Linked DNA regions of Pelodiscus sinensis. The protein of the gene in region 2 interacts with the protein of the main gene of each other region in a pairwise test. Links are inferred from orthologs where the notes say so. Each region holds a gene or a part of one and is shown on either strand. Other genes may lie near its edges.

What was found. The genes of interacting proteins can lie anywhere in the genome.
Region 1: the proteins of SAT1 (region 2) and KCNA4 interact in binary tests that used the Homo sapiens proteins (3 or more experiments, as listed by UniProt). The link is inferred for Pelodiscus sinensis from reciprocal best matches to the Homo sapiens genes SAT1 and KCNA4.

The regions. Positions count from the first base shown.
Region 1 is NC_134714.1:95,610,440-95,617,996, reverse strand, and holds the start of KCNA4 (potassium voltage-gated channel subfamily A member 4), read left to right. Parts: upstream 1-4,479; 5' UTR 4,480-5,292; intron 5,293-6,016; 5' UTR 6,017-6,827; coding exon 6,828-7,557. UniProt on the Homo sapiens protein: Voltage-gated potassium channel that mediates transmembrane potassium transport in excitable membranes. Forms tetrameric potassium-selective channels through which potassium ions pass in accordance with their electrochemical gradient.
Region 2 is NC_134711.1:205,581,896-205,589,470, reverse strand, and holds the start of SAT1 (diamine acetyltransferase 1), read left to right. Parts: upstream 1-4,543; 5' UTR 4,544-4,736; coding exon 4,737-4,802; intron 4,803-5,168; coding exon 5,169-5,220; intron 5,221-5,305; coding exon 5,306-5,389; intron 5,390-6,694; coding exon 6,695-6,796; intron 6,797-6,878; coding exon 6,879-6,919; intron 6,920-7,349; coding exon 7,350-7,520; 3' UTR 7,521-7,575. UniProt on the Homo sapiens protein: Enzyme which catalyzes the acetylation of polyamines. Substrate specificity: norspermidine = spermidine >> spermine > N(1)-acetylspermine. This highly regulated enzyme allows a fine attenuation of the intracellular concentration of polyamines.

The sequences.
Region 1 (7,557 bases), on a different chromosome or scaffold from region 2:
CACGAATCTCCTAACTCCTGACCTTGTACACGAACACAAAGACAATCTCTTCTAGTATAATATGTGTAAACTGTATGCATAATACTTTCTAACATGGAGTCCTTCAACAAAATGTATAGCACCTACAGGGTGTGACTGCACAGCAGGGCTTAACTCGAAATAAACTAAGCAAATTGAACTACGTCAATTGCATAGCTTATTTCAAAATTGGGAGCATCTACACAACACTTATTTAGAAATAGAGACTCTTCCTCCGACTTCCCTGTGAGGGGGGTGCGGTCTCAGAAGACCCCTTTTGGTGCCTCCCAGGGTGCTGACACGGCCACTGCCACTCGCCTTCCCACTCTCTGGGGCTCTTCACTGCCTGGTCCTGCCAGGCCAGCTCCCTGGTCTCCCCCAATCACGGCCCTGAGCTGAGATCTCTGACCCCCAAGAAGCAGTACAGTTACTGAACCTCTTCAAGTTTGATTAGAGTGCAGTTTAGGGCCCAGCTCTTGGGATACCACTCCCCAAATGACATCAAACCCCAAAGAATTAGGTAAGTCACCTTTAACAATGAAAGGGGGAATGTGCACACTGATTGCTCTCCCATGTAATAATTGCTTACACTGGGTTTGATAGAAAATAAAAGTGATTTTATTAAGTACAAGCAGTAGGATTTGAGTGGTAATAAGCGAGAACAGGCAGAGCAAAGTAGATTACAAATCAAAAGAAACAAAAATGCTTGGCTAATTCTACCCTGGAACCTCAGTGCAAACTTTTCAAACTCACCCTAAAACATCTTTTCCAGCTGCCCTTGCAAATCAGGGCTGTCTCCCCACCCTGGGGTCTTCGGCTCCTTCCTGCAGGTGCAGCCCAGCCAAAAGACCAAAGGCTCCTGCCTTCCTATTCTTTTTAAAGCATTCCCTTGTTCTATGGGGAATCCCTAAGGACTACTGCTAAGCCTTAAGGACAAAAGGCTATTTGCATATTACTGCTGAGACACTGGGGTCCCAATTGATGGCTTTCCATTTACACATTTAAAAATCATAAAGTATACCCTACTCCATATGTCTAATTTTACACACAAAAATGATACACACATCAAAATAAGATAAACAGAATCAGCTGATCATGACATGAAGATTGATAGGTTACATGAAATAATTTGCTCCAAGCACCTTTGAGTTATTTATATTAATGTTCTTTGGGGGGGGGGGGAGGGGGGGAAGGGATGTCCATCACATTCCCTTACTCCTTGTACAATGAGGGTTGCAGGAATCAGAGTAAGAAGTCCTCCAGCATGACAGTATTTTGACTTTATTTTGAAATAACTGCCTGCTGTGTAGACATGGACTAAGTATGGACGAAATAATGTGGCTGTGTAGACGTACCCACAGTTTTTGGTCTGATTCTGCAGTTTCTCCATGTGTGTCCCTTCCCCTGATGTCAATGGCAGCTGTTTGATATGAGAACTTCAAGTGCAGCCTGTAGATCCTAAAAGCATCGCTTTCCATTCAAATAATTGGACAAATTGGTGGCAGATATGACACAAATTACAAGACACTATCAAATACATTTGCTACTGGAAAACATATGTGCCATACAGTGAAACATATCAAAATTATTTTCTCTACATCTGTGACAATTTGGCACAATACCAGTTTGCAATGTGAGACATCTCTAGGCACAGAGCTACTGGAAAAGTTCTTGAAGCATTTTTGAATTCTTTGTCTTGAACCAAAATGTTGCTCTTTCCAGTTTCCCCCCAAATATATGGAATTTTAACAGTCCAAAGGCAGCATTAATTGTGATCTCACAGTCTAATCTCTCCCCAAATTATTCCTGACCAAAGCAGGAGCATGTAACTGCTGTCCATAGCCTCATAGCCAGAACAAGGAGTATATGTGCCAAATTTCACAGATCATGCTTCTGACCAGCCACTAGAATGGCCTGGTTCTACTTGCCAAAGAATACTTGCAAAGGCATCCTCTCCATGACTTTTTCTGAGATCCTTAACTGATGTGAAAATTTACCACCCCATATTTTCCCAACTCCACTCAGTTTCCTTTGGCATCTCATCAGGAGCAAATGCCACACACAGTCTAACACCTAATATCTCCTGGGTTTTGTATGCCTTCACAATGATTGTACTCTCTGCTTGCCTTGTTTCAAAACTGCAAATACAGAGGGAGGACATTTGATTCAGTACATTGAGCAAGCAGAGTTTCCCCCCTTGCTGAGAAGGAACCAAATATATCTAGCCTAAGTGATTCTTGCCAGGTTTTTTACTAACCTCATCTTAAAAGCTCCTAATGACAGGGATTCCACAGTGCAAATAATTCACTGAGCTTCATTCATCTTTATTTATGATAAAACCTAGAGGTTGAAACAACTGAGGCCCCATTGTATTCACTGTATGAATGCATAGAAATGGGCAGTCCCTGCTCCATTTCCCAGTCAAAACAGATTAGAGAGACAAAATGTGGGAGAGAGGAACTATAATTACAGATAGGGAACTGAAGCGCAGAAAAGTGATCTGTCCAATGAGACCCAGGAAACTTGTCACAGAACTAGGGGTAAAGCCAGGTTTCCTGAGTCCCTACTTAGTGCCTTACCTCAGGGCTATCCACTCTCCAAGACTATCTTCCCTTCTAACATTCCTTCTTCTAACATTGTTGTTTTGAAGAATCTCCCTGATCATGAGCTTAAAGGGAATCCAAGAAGAATAGAGAAAGTGCTAAGACTGAAAATCAACCACTTGTGCTATTTTTGTTCGAGTCTCCCTTTTCATCCTTCTGTGCAATCCAGGTCAGGATGGATCCAACAGGATCAAGGGGTTGGGTGCATGATTTTATGGGACTGCTGCATCAGTTTGCATTATGATCTGGATTTTTTATGTGCACTGGGAGTTTTTATTTCCACCCTTTATTTTGTTTGAGTGGGGTTACATTCAGATGCCAGTTATGCGTTTTTCTCATGATATTAGGCTGGGGTGCATTAGGATCTAGATTTTTTTTAGTGGAATAGGAGTGGTTATGCTTATTTTCCAGTTAGATCTCCCCATCCCCTACATGAATGTTGTAAAAACCTGGATCTGGCTCCAGCTGGATTTTGGGCATATTTGATATCAAGTCCCACATTCTACTATCTGCTTGTTTTTTTGGTGGAGTAGGAGGAGCTACTCTTATTTCTTCTTCCTGCTGTGGTTTTTTTTTTTTTTTTTGAGGAGAGTAAGGGCTAAAAGTGGATGGATCTGGTAGGATTCAAATCCATATCTGGGGTTTCGTAATGCTCTGCATAGTGAGCAGCTAGACTTATTTCTCTGTAGGAGCATTACAATTTGAGGCCAAAGTTTGGCAGGATTCAGGTATTAGATCCAGGGTTTTGCAATGTTCCTACTCCAGGGAGCACTGAATCAACAGTGTGTCCTTGTAGTTAAGAAGGCTAACAGCATATTAGGGTGCATTAGGAGGAGCATGCCAGCAGATCTAGAGAAGCGATTTTTCCCATTTATTTGGCTCTGGTGAGGCCACATTTGGAGTGTTGAGTCCAGTTCTGGGCCTCCCACTATAGAAAGGATGTGGATGCATTGGAGAGGGTCCAGCAGCGGGCAACCAAAATGATTAGCGGGCAGGTGCACATAGCCTACCGGGAGAGGGTGAGGGATTTGGGCTTATTTAGTCTGCAGAAGAGAAGAGTGAGGGGGGATTGATAGCACCCTTCAACTTCTGGAAGGGAGGTTCCAAAGAGGATGCAGAGCTGCTATTGCCAGTAGTGACAGACGACAGAACAAGGAGCAATGGTCTCAAGTTACAGTGGGGGAGGTCTAGGTTGGATATTAGGAAAAACTATTTCGCTAGGAGAGTGGTGAAGCACTGGGATGGGTTACCTAGGGAGGTGGTGGACTCTCCATCTCTAGAGGTTTTTAAGTCCTGGCTTGACAAAGCCCTGGCTGGGATGATTTAGTTGGGATTGGTCCTGCCTTGGGCACGGGGCTGGACTCAATGACTCCTGAGGTCTATTCCAGCCCTAGGATTCTATGATTCTAGGGTGGATTGGATTTCCCGCAAACCCCCCCCCCCCTCCAATAAGAGCAGTAGGGCTGCTTTTCTGTTATGAAGCAACACATTGGGAAATCATGGCCAAAAACCAGCAGGAGCCAGGTAGATCCAGCTGTTCACTGATGTTGTGTGCCACACTTATTCCTTGATTCCATTTGAAATTCCCAGTGCCTCTTGAGCGGCATAGATTTTCTTTAAAAAAGACAGCCCTCGGCACGGACCCGAGCTCTCCCTTGTATTAGCCAAGGTATGTATTATTCAACTCTGGCATATTTCTTTCAATAATTAATATATGACCACAAAAAGAAACAATGCGGGCGGGGGGGGGGGGGGGGGGAGATTGTAAATTGCTTAATGAGTGCAAGGAGGGCTGTGGCCGCTAGGGGCTGGCCGAGAGCTGGAAAGCCCAGGGAATAAATCAGACCTGGCGTTCGTCCTTCAGTGGCACGTAAACACAGTTGGGAATCGGGCAGCAGACGGCTGACAAAGGGGGCGAGAGCGCGGGAAAGAGCAACAGTTCCTGCGCCCGCAACTCACTGAGGCCAGAGTTAGCGGGAGCGCGGCGCAGGGGCTCGGGAGCGCGGGCGCGAAAGCCTCGCGGGGGGTCGGTTGTGTTGGGTTTAATTGCCTCGCTCCTCCTCGCCCCCGCCCTCCAAATAATAGCAGCAGCAACAACAAGTGGATGCGGTGTGCGCTGGACTGCGGGGCGCTCGGCTGCAGTGTAAACGGGCGTGCGAGGGGAATTGCCACCAACAGGGCGCCTCCTGCTATCACTCGCCAGTGCTCGGCTCGCACAGGGATTATTCCCCGTTGATTTCACCCTCCCGCCAGCGCCCGCTTTGGAGAGACAAGTGATCACACACACACACAAGCGTGTCCTCCCGCGCGCGCGCACACACACTCTCTCACACACACACTCTCACGCACACACACACACACACACGAATCCTCTTTTTTGTTTCCTCCTGGAGCAAGATTCTTGATTGTTGCTGTTTTGCTAAGCTCTGGGCTAAGAAGTGACCGTCGCTGACCAGATTTCTCCAGAGCTGGGCTCCCCATCTGGCTCCCCCTGGGAGATCTGCTTGTGTACAAAGAGAACCGAGACAAATAAGTCATCCACCTGTAGTTTTGGCTGCCCCTACACCTGCAACCCTAGGCTGCTTAGTTAGCACCGTCCCCTTCTCAGGAGCTCTTTCTCCACATCCTTGGACGAGCCAGAAGAGCGTTGCTATTTCTCTGCCTAGGAACAGTAAGTATAATAGCATTTTTCTTCCTGCAGCATATTCAGAAAGGGGTGTGTGCTGTTTTTAGGGGTGTGTGTGTGTGTGTGTGTGTTTGGGTGACCGTGTGTTGTTGCTCCAGGAAGCTACAGTTTGTATTTTTTTGTCAGACAAGCATGGATGTTGGTCACTGGATATGCCCAGGTATGTACCTTTTACTAAGTGACAGTTTAGTAAAAGGTGCATTGTGACTACATCACAAGTTAGATTTGAAATGTACTGTATCATTCCTGCAGTTAATTAAGTTCCCAATATGTAGCAGAGCTATTTTGTATACATCTCCGTGTCACATTTGATATACGTAGAAGATTTTATACATACAAATACAGTCTATATGTAAAGTCTTGCAAATTGTGACTGCCATGTACAGTAGTATTGATGTGAATGTTGCGCTCTCTCCTAGAGTTAGGAAGATAAAACAATTACATACTTAAGTACACCTATATGTGTATACACACACACACTCGTATCTGTACACACAATCATAGAAAACCTATGGGTGTATGGAATGAATGTGTGTGATGTATTAATGTGAAGGGGGTGTGTGTATGTGTGGCTGAACATCTTAGTAAATGACACAATTTGCATTTGACCTACACTGTGGCATCTTAGGAAAACGAACCAACCTTTTCTAAACCTTTCTGTTTTCTTTGTTATTTTTGTATGTATGTGTGTTTGCTGCATGTGCCTCAGGTTAAGTGCTTCTTCTGCATGAGCATAACCAAAGGGTGATCCACTCTCTTGTCCCCTATGGAGTCCTCCAAGCCAGTGTTGCAGCCTTCTCCTCCTCCTCTTGCCACTGCAGCTACTGCCCTGGCTGCTGCTCCGAGGTTTGAGACTCTGTTGACAGGCTGAAGAAAGAGGGCTTGCAAAGACCTCCTCACTGTGTAAACAAAATGATGGCTGGAAGTTACTTCAACTCCCTCAATATCATTATTAAACAGTAATCATATTGCTAGACCAAAGCATTACTTGGAGAAAATGATGAGAAAAGAGACTATTTGCATTTGGTTACAGTGATAAACTAAAGACCTGAAACTTTTCTTTGTCAAGAAAACAACAGGACAGTTACCTCGTTTTGTATGAACACTTGGCTCTTTATTGGGTGCAGTCCTTGGAGCTACAACAAAATCACACATTTGAAAAGATGTGTGGATTCTGTATTGGCCACTGAAGTATCATAAAAATAAAGAGGCTTGCCTGATGAAAGGATGAGGCCTTGACTCTTTCTGAAATCAAAACTGAAGGCTGCATCTTTTCTTTTATTTTTTTTTGTGAACAAAACACGGTTATATTTGTCAGACATCCTGAATGATAAGAAAATGCAGATTTTGTGGTGGTTACAATTTCACAAAACACAAATTCAGTTTTACTAATACCATCATGTACTGTGCTTCCAAGAAACTGTCCTCCAAATGCAAATGGCTTTGAACTTTCCCTCATAAAAGTCAAGGTGTGACTATAGATATCCCAGACTATTTTGTATTAAACAAACAGTTACAAAATGGAGGTTGCAATGGTGAGTGCAGAGAGCTCTGGCTGCAACAGCCACATGCCCTATGGATATGCTGTCCAGGCTCGGGCTCGGGAGAGAGAAAGACTGGCACACTCGAGGGCAGCGGCAGCTGCAGCTGTGGCAGCAGCAACAGCAGCAGTAGAAGGCGGCGCCTCGGGAGGAGGTGGTCCCTATCATCACTACCACCAGATACAGAGTCGGGGGGCTTCTTCTTCTCACGATGGCAATGCACCACATAGCAGTTTGCCCTGGCATCAAAGCAGTAGAAGGAGAAAGCGAGGGAGAAAAAGGAGCCACTATTTGAGTAGCAGGGAGTGTGGGGCCTCCTTCCTCTGTTCTGAGCTGCTGCCTCTAAGTGGCTCTGAAGAGAAGATACTGAAGGACTTGAGTGAGGAGGAAGAGGAGGATGAGGAGGAGGATGAAGAAGATGAGGAGGAAGGGAAGTTCTACTACAGTGACGAGGATGAAGTGGATGAATGTTCGTATTTGGACCACCCACCTGATGATGGTGGAGGTGACGGCGGCCCTGGGGGCTACAGCACAGTGCGCTACAGCGAGTATGAGTGCTGCGAACGGGTAGTGATCAATGTATCAGGACTGCGGTTTGAGACTCAGCTGAAGACCTTGGCTCAGTTTCCTGAAACATTGCTGGGGGATCCGGCAAAGCGGGGTAGGTACTTTGACCCACTCAGGAATGAGTACTTCTTCGATCGGAACC
Region 2 (7,575 bases):
GCCTGCAGGTCATCCCCAGCCAGAGCAGTTGCGCAATCCAGCCTGGGAATCCCAGCGGGCTTGTTCCTTACTGTTCCCCAAGCCCTGCCCCTTCCTGCCATTGCCCTGCCCTCTTCCCACCCCACAGCACTCCATTCTCAGATGATCTGACTTTAGGTGGGGCCTGGTGTGGAATGGCAGCAGCAGTCAGGCTCCCTCATACTCTCTGCAGGGGCAGGAGATGGCCCATGGGCTGGGAGTTTGAGATCCCTGCAGTAGACACTGGAATGCACCTGTCCTATCTACAGTTGACTTAATGGACTTTTCCTAACACAGAGTGGGGAGAGGCAGGGCAAAGATGCTTGAGGACCCCAGAAAGAAGAGACAAACAGGAGGGATCCTCAAGCATCTTTGAGGAAGCAGTTCATCTTAGGTAGGGACTGTCCCTTTCTAGGGCTCATCTCGAATCTCTCCCAGCCCAGGTGGTGCTAGCGTCCCGGCTCTTCTTGGCCAGTGACTCAGTGCATACTCAAAGGAGCCTCCCCACACCTGCTCACCTTTCACTTTCTTCTGGCACTTCAAGGGTGGCAGCAGAGGAACTTTTACAGCAGTAGCACAGATGCCCCAAGACTCACCTTCAAGCTTCACTACTATACCGTCCTGAGTTAGGCTGAGTCTGGCTTTCCACTGGGCCTATAGAAGCGAGGGGCAGAGTGGGCCTTAGGGGGGATGAATGAGCCACAAGCAGCTGAGAGGGATGGGCAATGGGCTATGGGGAAAATGAGTTGGATATTGTACAGAGATTCTTCTAGTCTCGTTGATTGTTGATTTCTCCCTTGCAAGTGGCAAAGATCAGATGTCTGCTGACTTACTCACAAGTCTGCAGCATTTGATACCTGTGGCATAAGTAACATATCTCTGGCTGGAATGGTTTTGTTCTTTCCTCTCCAAGGGCATGTCTAGACTACATGCCTCTGCCGACTGAGGCATGTAAATTAGACATACCGACGTAATCAATGAAGCAGGGATTTAAATAAAAATGGATGCACATAGCACACACAGTTCTATGCCTCTTACTCTTTTCCATCAAACCCAGATGTCACCGCATCTTTGCTTTCCTAGTTCCTGGAAGAGCAAGACATAAATACAGAATCATAAGGTTGAAAGAGACCTCAGAAGGTCATTGAGGGGAGGCTGAAGGTATGATCATAAAAGCTGAGGGTTATGATCATAAAAGCAAGATCTGTCACAACTAAATCATCTCAGCCAGGGCTGTGTCAGCCCAGGACTTAAAAACCTGTAGGGCAGTGTTTCTCAAAGTGGTCCATGGACCCACTCTGAGAAAACTGCTACTGGGCTGCTCCACTTTGTTTACTTACTGGCTCCATAGCCAAGGAGCCTCATGGCTTCCATTGGCTGCAATTTCCCATTTGCAACCAAGGGGATCTGCAGGAAGTAGTGGCCCAGGTCATTCTGCTTCCCGCTGTTCCCCTTGGCTGCAAATGGCAAACCACAGCTAATGGGAGCAGTGAGGCTCCGTGGCTGCAGAGCCAGTAAGTAAACAAACCAGAGTGGCCCCGTAGCAGCTTTTTCAGAATGGGTCCGTGGATCACTTTGAGAAACACTGCCCTAGGGATGGAGACTCCACCACCTCTGTAGGTAACCCATTTCAGTGCTTCACCACCCTCCTAGTGACATAGTTTTCCCTAATAGCCAACCTAGACCTCCAGTTTGAGACCATTGCACCTTGTTCTGCCATCTGTCACCCCTGAGAACAGCCTCTCTCCTTCCTCGTTGGAACCCCTCTTCAGGTAATTGAAGGCTGCTATCAAATCCCCCTTCACTCTTCTCTTAAGTAGACTAAATAAGTCCAAATCCCTCAGCCTCTCCTCATAAGATATGTGCTCCACCCCCTAACCATTTTTGTTGCCCTCCACTGGACTCCTCCAATGCGTTCACATTCTTCTGCAATGGATACAATACTCCAAATGTGGCCTCACCAGTGCCAAATAATCACTTCCATAGATCTGCTGGCAATGCTCCTGCTAATGTACCCCAATATGCCATTAGCCTTGTTGGCTATAAGGGCACACTGTTGACTCCTATTCATCTTCTCATCCACTCATCCCCAGGTCTTTTTCTGCAGAACTGCTGCTTAGCCCTCTCCCCACTGTAGCTGTGCTTGGGATTCTTCCATAAGCAAGCTGGATGATGGACAGAGGCAGCCCGTGACTATAGGCGGACTCGGCTGCTGCCTAGGACACCATCTTAAATGGGGCGCCCGGGGTGCCCGATGCTGACATCTGTCCATTGACGGCCCTGCAGGCGGGGGCGCCAATCGCATGTTCTGCCTGGGGCACCAGCTGCCGCAGCCCACCTCGGGCCACTCCTGGTGGTGGAAGCTTAGTTTTCCCAAGATGGAGGCACTTATAATGTGTTAAAAGAAAGCAGGGAGATTATCCTTCCCATCGTCTTTCATTTAAGAAATTTCCATTGTGGGATACTTCTAGATTCTCACTGACATCTGGAAGTACAGTACAGATGATACTAGGAAACCAGATCATCATTTAACAACTTCATCTATTCAACAGACACACACCAGTTATAAAATTATCACCAGATAATGAGGTTCTGAGATGGGACACGAGGAGAGTGGGGGGAGGAAGGTTGAGGGCAGGATGGAATCACATGAAAGGTAACGTGTGGAAGGCCCTGGTGTCCCTCCCATAAATGCAGTCTTTTGTATTAATTAACACTCTCTAGTGAGACTTTTTACAAATCAAAGTCCTCTGTGTGCTGCATGCTGTTATTACAGACATCTGTGGCACTTTCATTGGAGGAAAATAGGAGGTTGATGCTTTTAGATAAACATTTCCTCTCCCCTCACAAGTTGTTCACTGTTAAGTCTCCCTGGGCTGGGGTGGCAAGTTTGTAGAAATGTTGTTGGTGCCCAGAACTCACTTCTTCCACCTGCCTAAGGCTATGGGAGGAAGTTTGGGTGCTGGGTGCAGGCTCTGGACTTGCACAGGGAATTGGGGTGTAGAAGAGGTGAGGTATCAGGCTCTGGGAGGATGTTTGGGGGCAGAAGAGGATGTAGGTAGAGAGGTGGCATATAGCATTTATCTAAGGCACCTCCTCCGGCAGTAGCTTCTAAGCAGGGGGGCACGCTGGCAGGCATGACTCCCGCAACTCTCACTAACAGCAGGGGCACTTGAAGCAGGTGGAAGGCTAGGTGCCACCAGGGGGAAAACCCAGCCCCAAACTTTGTTGAAGCAGGACCTCTGAATATTTCTGGGGCCCAGGCACCCTGGGTCCATATAACTCCCCACTCTTGGACCTGACACTGTTACGAGCAGTTGGCAGAGAGTCTCCTGTGGTTCTAAGGAGCCTGTGCTTTTGGCACTGGAAGGGAATTCTAGTGTCTGCCAGGTGTTCAGTTTTTGATCAAAATGCCAGGTTGAAAGGAATCCCTGATGGCTCCAGACAACACTGCTGACCAGACAGTTAAAAGTTTGGTCAGCAACGCTGTGTGGAAATGCAGGTTCTGAGCATCTCTTAGAAGCACGGGCATGTCACCCCTCCAACTCCTATGCATACAGGCAACCAGGGAGCTCCACATGCTGCCCCTGACCCAACAGTTGACCCTGCAGCTCCCATTGGTCAGGAATCACGGCCAATGGGAGCTGTTGGGTAGCACCTGGTCCTGTGGACAGGGCAGTAAGCAGAGCTACCTGGCTGGACCTCCACCTAGGAGCCAGAGTTGGAATGCGTCCCTGCTTCCAGGAGCTGCTTGAGGGAAGTGCTGTCTGGAGTCTGCACCCCTCAGCCCACTCCCTGCCTTCAAACCCAGCCGCACCTCAGTCTGCACCCTGGGCTGGTGTCCTTATCTCTGTACCCCACCTACCTGTTCCACCAAGGGATAGCTCAGTGGTTTGAGCATTGGCCTGCTAAACCCAGGGTTGAGAGTTCAATCCTTACGGGGGAGGGGCATTTAGGGCTTTGGTGCAAATCTGTCAGGGATGGTACTTGGTCCTGCTATGAGGGCAGGAGACTGGACTCAATGACCTTTCAAGGTCCCTGTGAGATGGTAGATGCCACCTGCTGAATCTCTTGGTCCCAGCCTCTATTCTCTCCCCCCAGCGCAGGGTGGTGCCAGTGCAAGTGGGGAAGGGAAGCCTCGCTTCCCAGCCCGGGGGAGGCCAAAATGGGTGGGGCTGCAGAGCGGGCAGCGGGTAGTGTCCCCGGGCAGGGCCATTTTCCTGGCACCGGGGGGGGGGGGGGGCGTCTCCCAGGGCCGGAGTCACTGGGGCGGGGCTGGCACTTCCCCTCTCACCCCTCCCCCTCCCGCGGAGCTGGCGCTGGAGCAGGGCGGCCTTTGCCCGCCAGGGGGCGCTGCCGTCCGCGCGCGCGCCCGGGGCCTGCAGCCGGCAAGACACGCCCCTTTCCGGAAGAGTGAGGTAATGCTTGGGTCAGGAGCGCAGTGATTGGCCGAGGATCTGCGCGGGGGGGCAGGCCATTGGCGGGGGGGCGGAGCCTGTTGCCGATATATAGAGGGGCCGCGCGGCCGGCCGCCTCCACACGGCGCTGCGGGGGCGCAGAGGGGGAATCGGCGTCGGGTCGGGTCCTGTGTCCGCGTCATGCTCGGAGCCTGACTGAGCCGCCGCGCCGGGCACACGAATGAACAAGCGGCTGCTGCTCCTCTTCACGTACCGGGGACTCGCCAGCCGGGGGGGCCGCAGGGGGAAGCGCCGCCGAAAATGGCCCCGTTCCGCATCCGCAGCGCAAGGCCCGAGGACTGCCCCGACCTGCTGCGCCTCATCAAGGTGCCGCCGGCGGGGGGATGGGTGCGGCGGGGCGGGGCTTACTGGGGGGGGGTTGCTGCTGCGGGGGGGGGGGGGTAAAATTTGTTTTCTGCCTAAATCTCCTACCCAGGACCTTTGCCCCGGTTTGGGGGGGGGGGGGGCTCGAAACTCCTCCAGTGTCAGTTTTGTCCGCCCAGAACCAAGAACTCCTAATTTGGCAAAAACAAGTTGTTTGTGTTCAGTTCACGGGCACGCGGGGGCTCTTCGCTCTTGGCAGCGGGCAAGTGGCTGCCTCTCTGCTCTGCTGTGTATAAATAGCACTTGGATAAGAAATGCCTCCTTGAGGCATGGAAATAAATGTATATCTGTGCATGTATTTTTTTTCAGGAACTAGCTAAATATGAGGATATGGAGGATCAAGTAGTCCTAACTGAAAAAGGTAACATGAGCTGCTCAGAGTTTGGTGTGGTGTAGTCCTACTACTGTTAATATTTAATACACGTCAGCCTATTGTCATTTTGTAGATCTGCTTGAAGATGGCTTTGGTGAGCACCCTTTCTACCACTGTCTTGTTGCAGAAGTTCCAGAAGAACAGTGGACCGCTGAAGGTAAGATTTCCTGCTACTCTTTTAAAATAAGAAATGCACAGGATGTATGTAACACATTATTTAAAGCTGCTGATTATACATAAAGCCCCAGCTGGGAATTTGGATAAGAAGAAAGTTAAAATACAGTTATTGATATTGAAGAGTTGTGATATTTTTCTAAAATGATCAGCCATTTTGAAGACACTGGAGACCAGGTATAATATATATGATACACAGTAATTCCATTTAATTAGTTTGTTCTTGTTTGACCCTAATTTCCCTTAATGTAATCCTGTTGAATCACATTTTTTCTTTAATTTGTCCCCAATCTTCAGGTTACAGTCTCTAGCTTCGCCATGTACATGGCCCTTCCGTGTACATGGATGGGCGGGGAGGTAACTAAAAGATCCGTTACACAATAAAGTAGATGATCATGATACATGAGGTAAGGTCTAACAGGGACAAGTACTATTCCCAAACATTTACCAAAAAACACACGGTAGATCAGAAATCCTGTATGCACTCTCTTTTTATGAGTATGTGCAAACTACTATGGCTAACAACATGATTTGAAGTCTCAAGGTTTTAGGACTGAGTGGGATGATATTGGAAGAGGGTACCAGTTTTGCACCTGACAGTTGGCTACTCTTACAGAGTGAGCCATAGAGTTGTTTCAAGCAAACAAGGAAAGCTGTTGGCCAAAGTAGATATGTTTCTGGTGCCCAGGATACAGACTGTCACTTTGTTAATGGGAACACAATCCAAGGAGGTGCTGGAGATGCCATTGTTAACTTATGGCTTCCTGGGAGCACTCCTGGTTTTCCCACTGAGTAATTTTTGAGAGATACTGATTGGAAAACAGTCTTTTAAAGGTGTAGTTTTTAGATTTACTGTTAGTGTTGTGTTACAATTTTTAAGAAAGCAGAATTGAGCAAAGTGCCAGCATATTCTGAACTGCCGTGTTAAATGTAAGCCAGTTTTATATTCCAAAGTGGACATACTGATAATAGGGTATGTATAATGTGTCTGTAGCAGAAAGCCTTAGATGTTCATTGTTCGCTATAACCGTAAACACTGCCTTCCAAGAGCTAGAAAGATAATCTTCATTCCACAACACATCTCAAGCTATCAGAATTCCTGTTTTACCTACAACTCAGTATGCTTATTGCAAACTTCCATCCTTGAACCAGGCTTATGACAGTTAATACATTAATGGTTGCATGTGAAACCTAGGTATTTAGGTTGTATGCATGCAAGTTGAAATATACTAATCTTGTTGCTTTTCAAATTTAAGGGTATTTTTGCTGATGTAATTCTTTGTTACAGGACATCTTATTGTGGGTTTTGCCATGTATTACTTCACTTATGACCCTTGGATTGGAAAATTGCTGTACCTTGAAGATTTCTTTGTAATGTCAGAGTTCAGAGGTATATTTTAACAAATAGCTTCAAAATGGACTGTTCTATAATTTTTTTTAAAAATTACAACCAACCTTTCTTGACTTTTTAGGACTTGGCATTGGTTCAGAAATTCTGAAGAATCTGAGTCAGGTAAATAGTTCCATTCTCTGTCAGATTTTTAGCACAAGAAGACCACAGCAGAGAAGCAAGTCTGTTTAGCTCAATTAATATTACCCTTCAATAGTACTTGAAAATGAGTGATTCAGTTATGGTAATAAAAGGGACAAATGGACATATGGGGTAGGTTTATCAAATTCTGTAAAATCCTACTGGTTTAGTATCTGTCAGTACTTCATAGAATCAGAATTGACAGTCCCTCATCTCCATTGTGCCCAACGAGACCAAGGTGGGTTGAAGGAAATTGCTATGATTAAAACAGCTGCCAATATTAATGGCAGTCTTCACTTCAGCAATATGATGTGTGGAGAGACTTGCCTATCGGTAATGGAGGAATAGATTTCCATATGCAATTAATAAAATTGCTACACACCTAATAAATATACTGGTCATGTGTTTGTAGGTTGCTCTCAAATGCCGCTGTAGCAGCATGCACTTTATAGTGGCAGAATGGAATGAACCTTCTATCAAGTTCTACAAAAGAAGAGGTGCTTCTGATCTGTCCTCTGAGGAAGGATGGAGGCTCTTCAAAATTGACAAAGAACATCTGTTGAAAATGGCAACTGAAGAATGAGGAATTATTCCAGCAAATGACAAATCCATGAATCATACTTTGAATAAATTCTTGC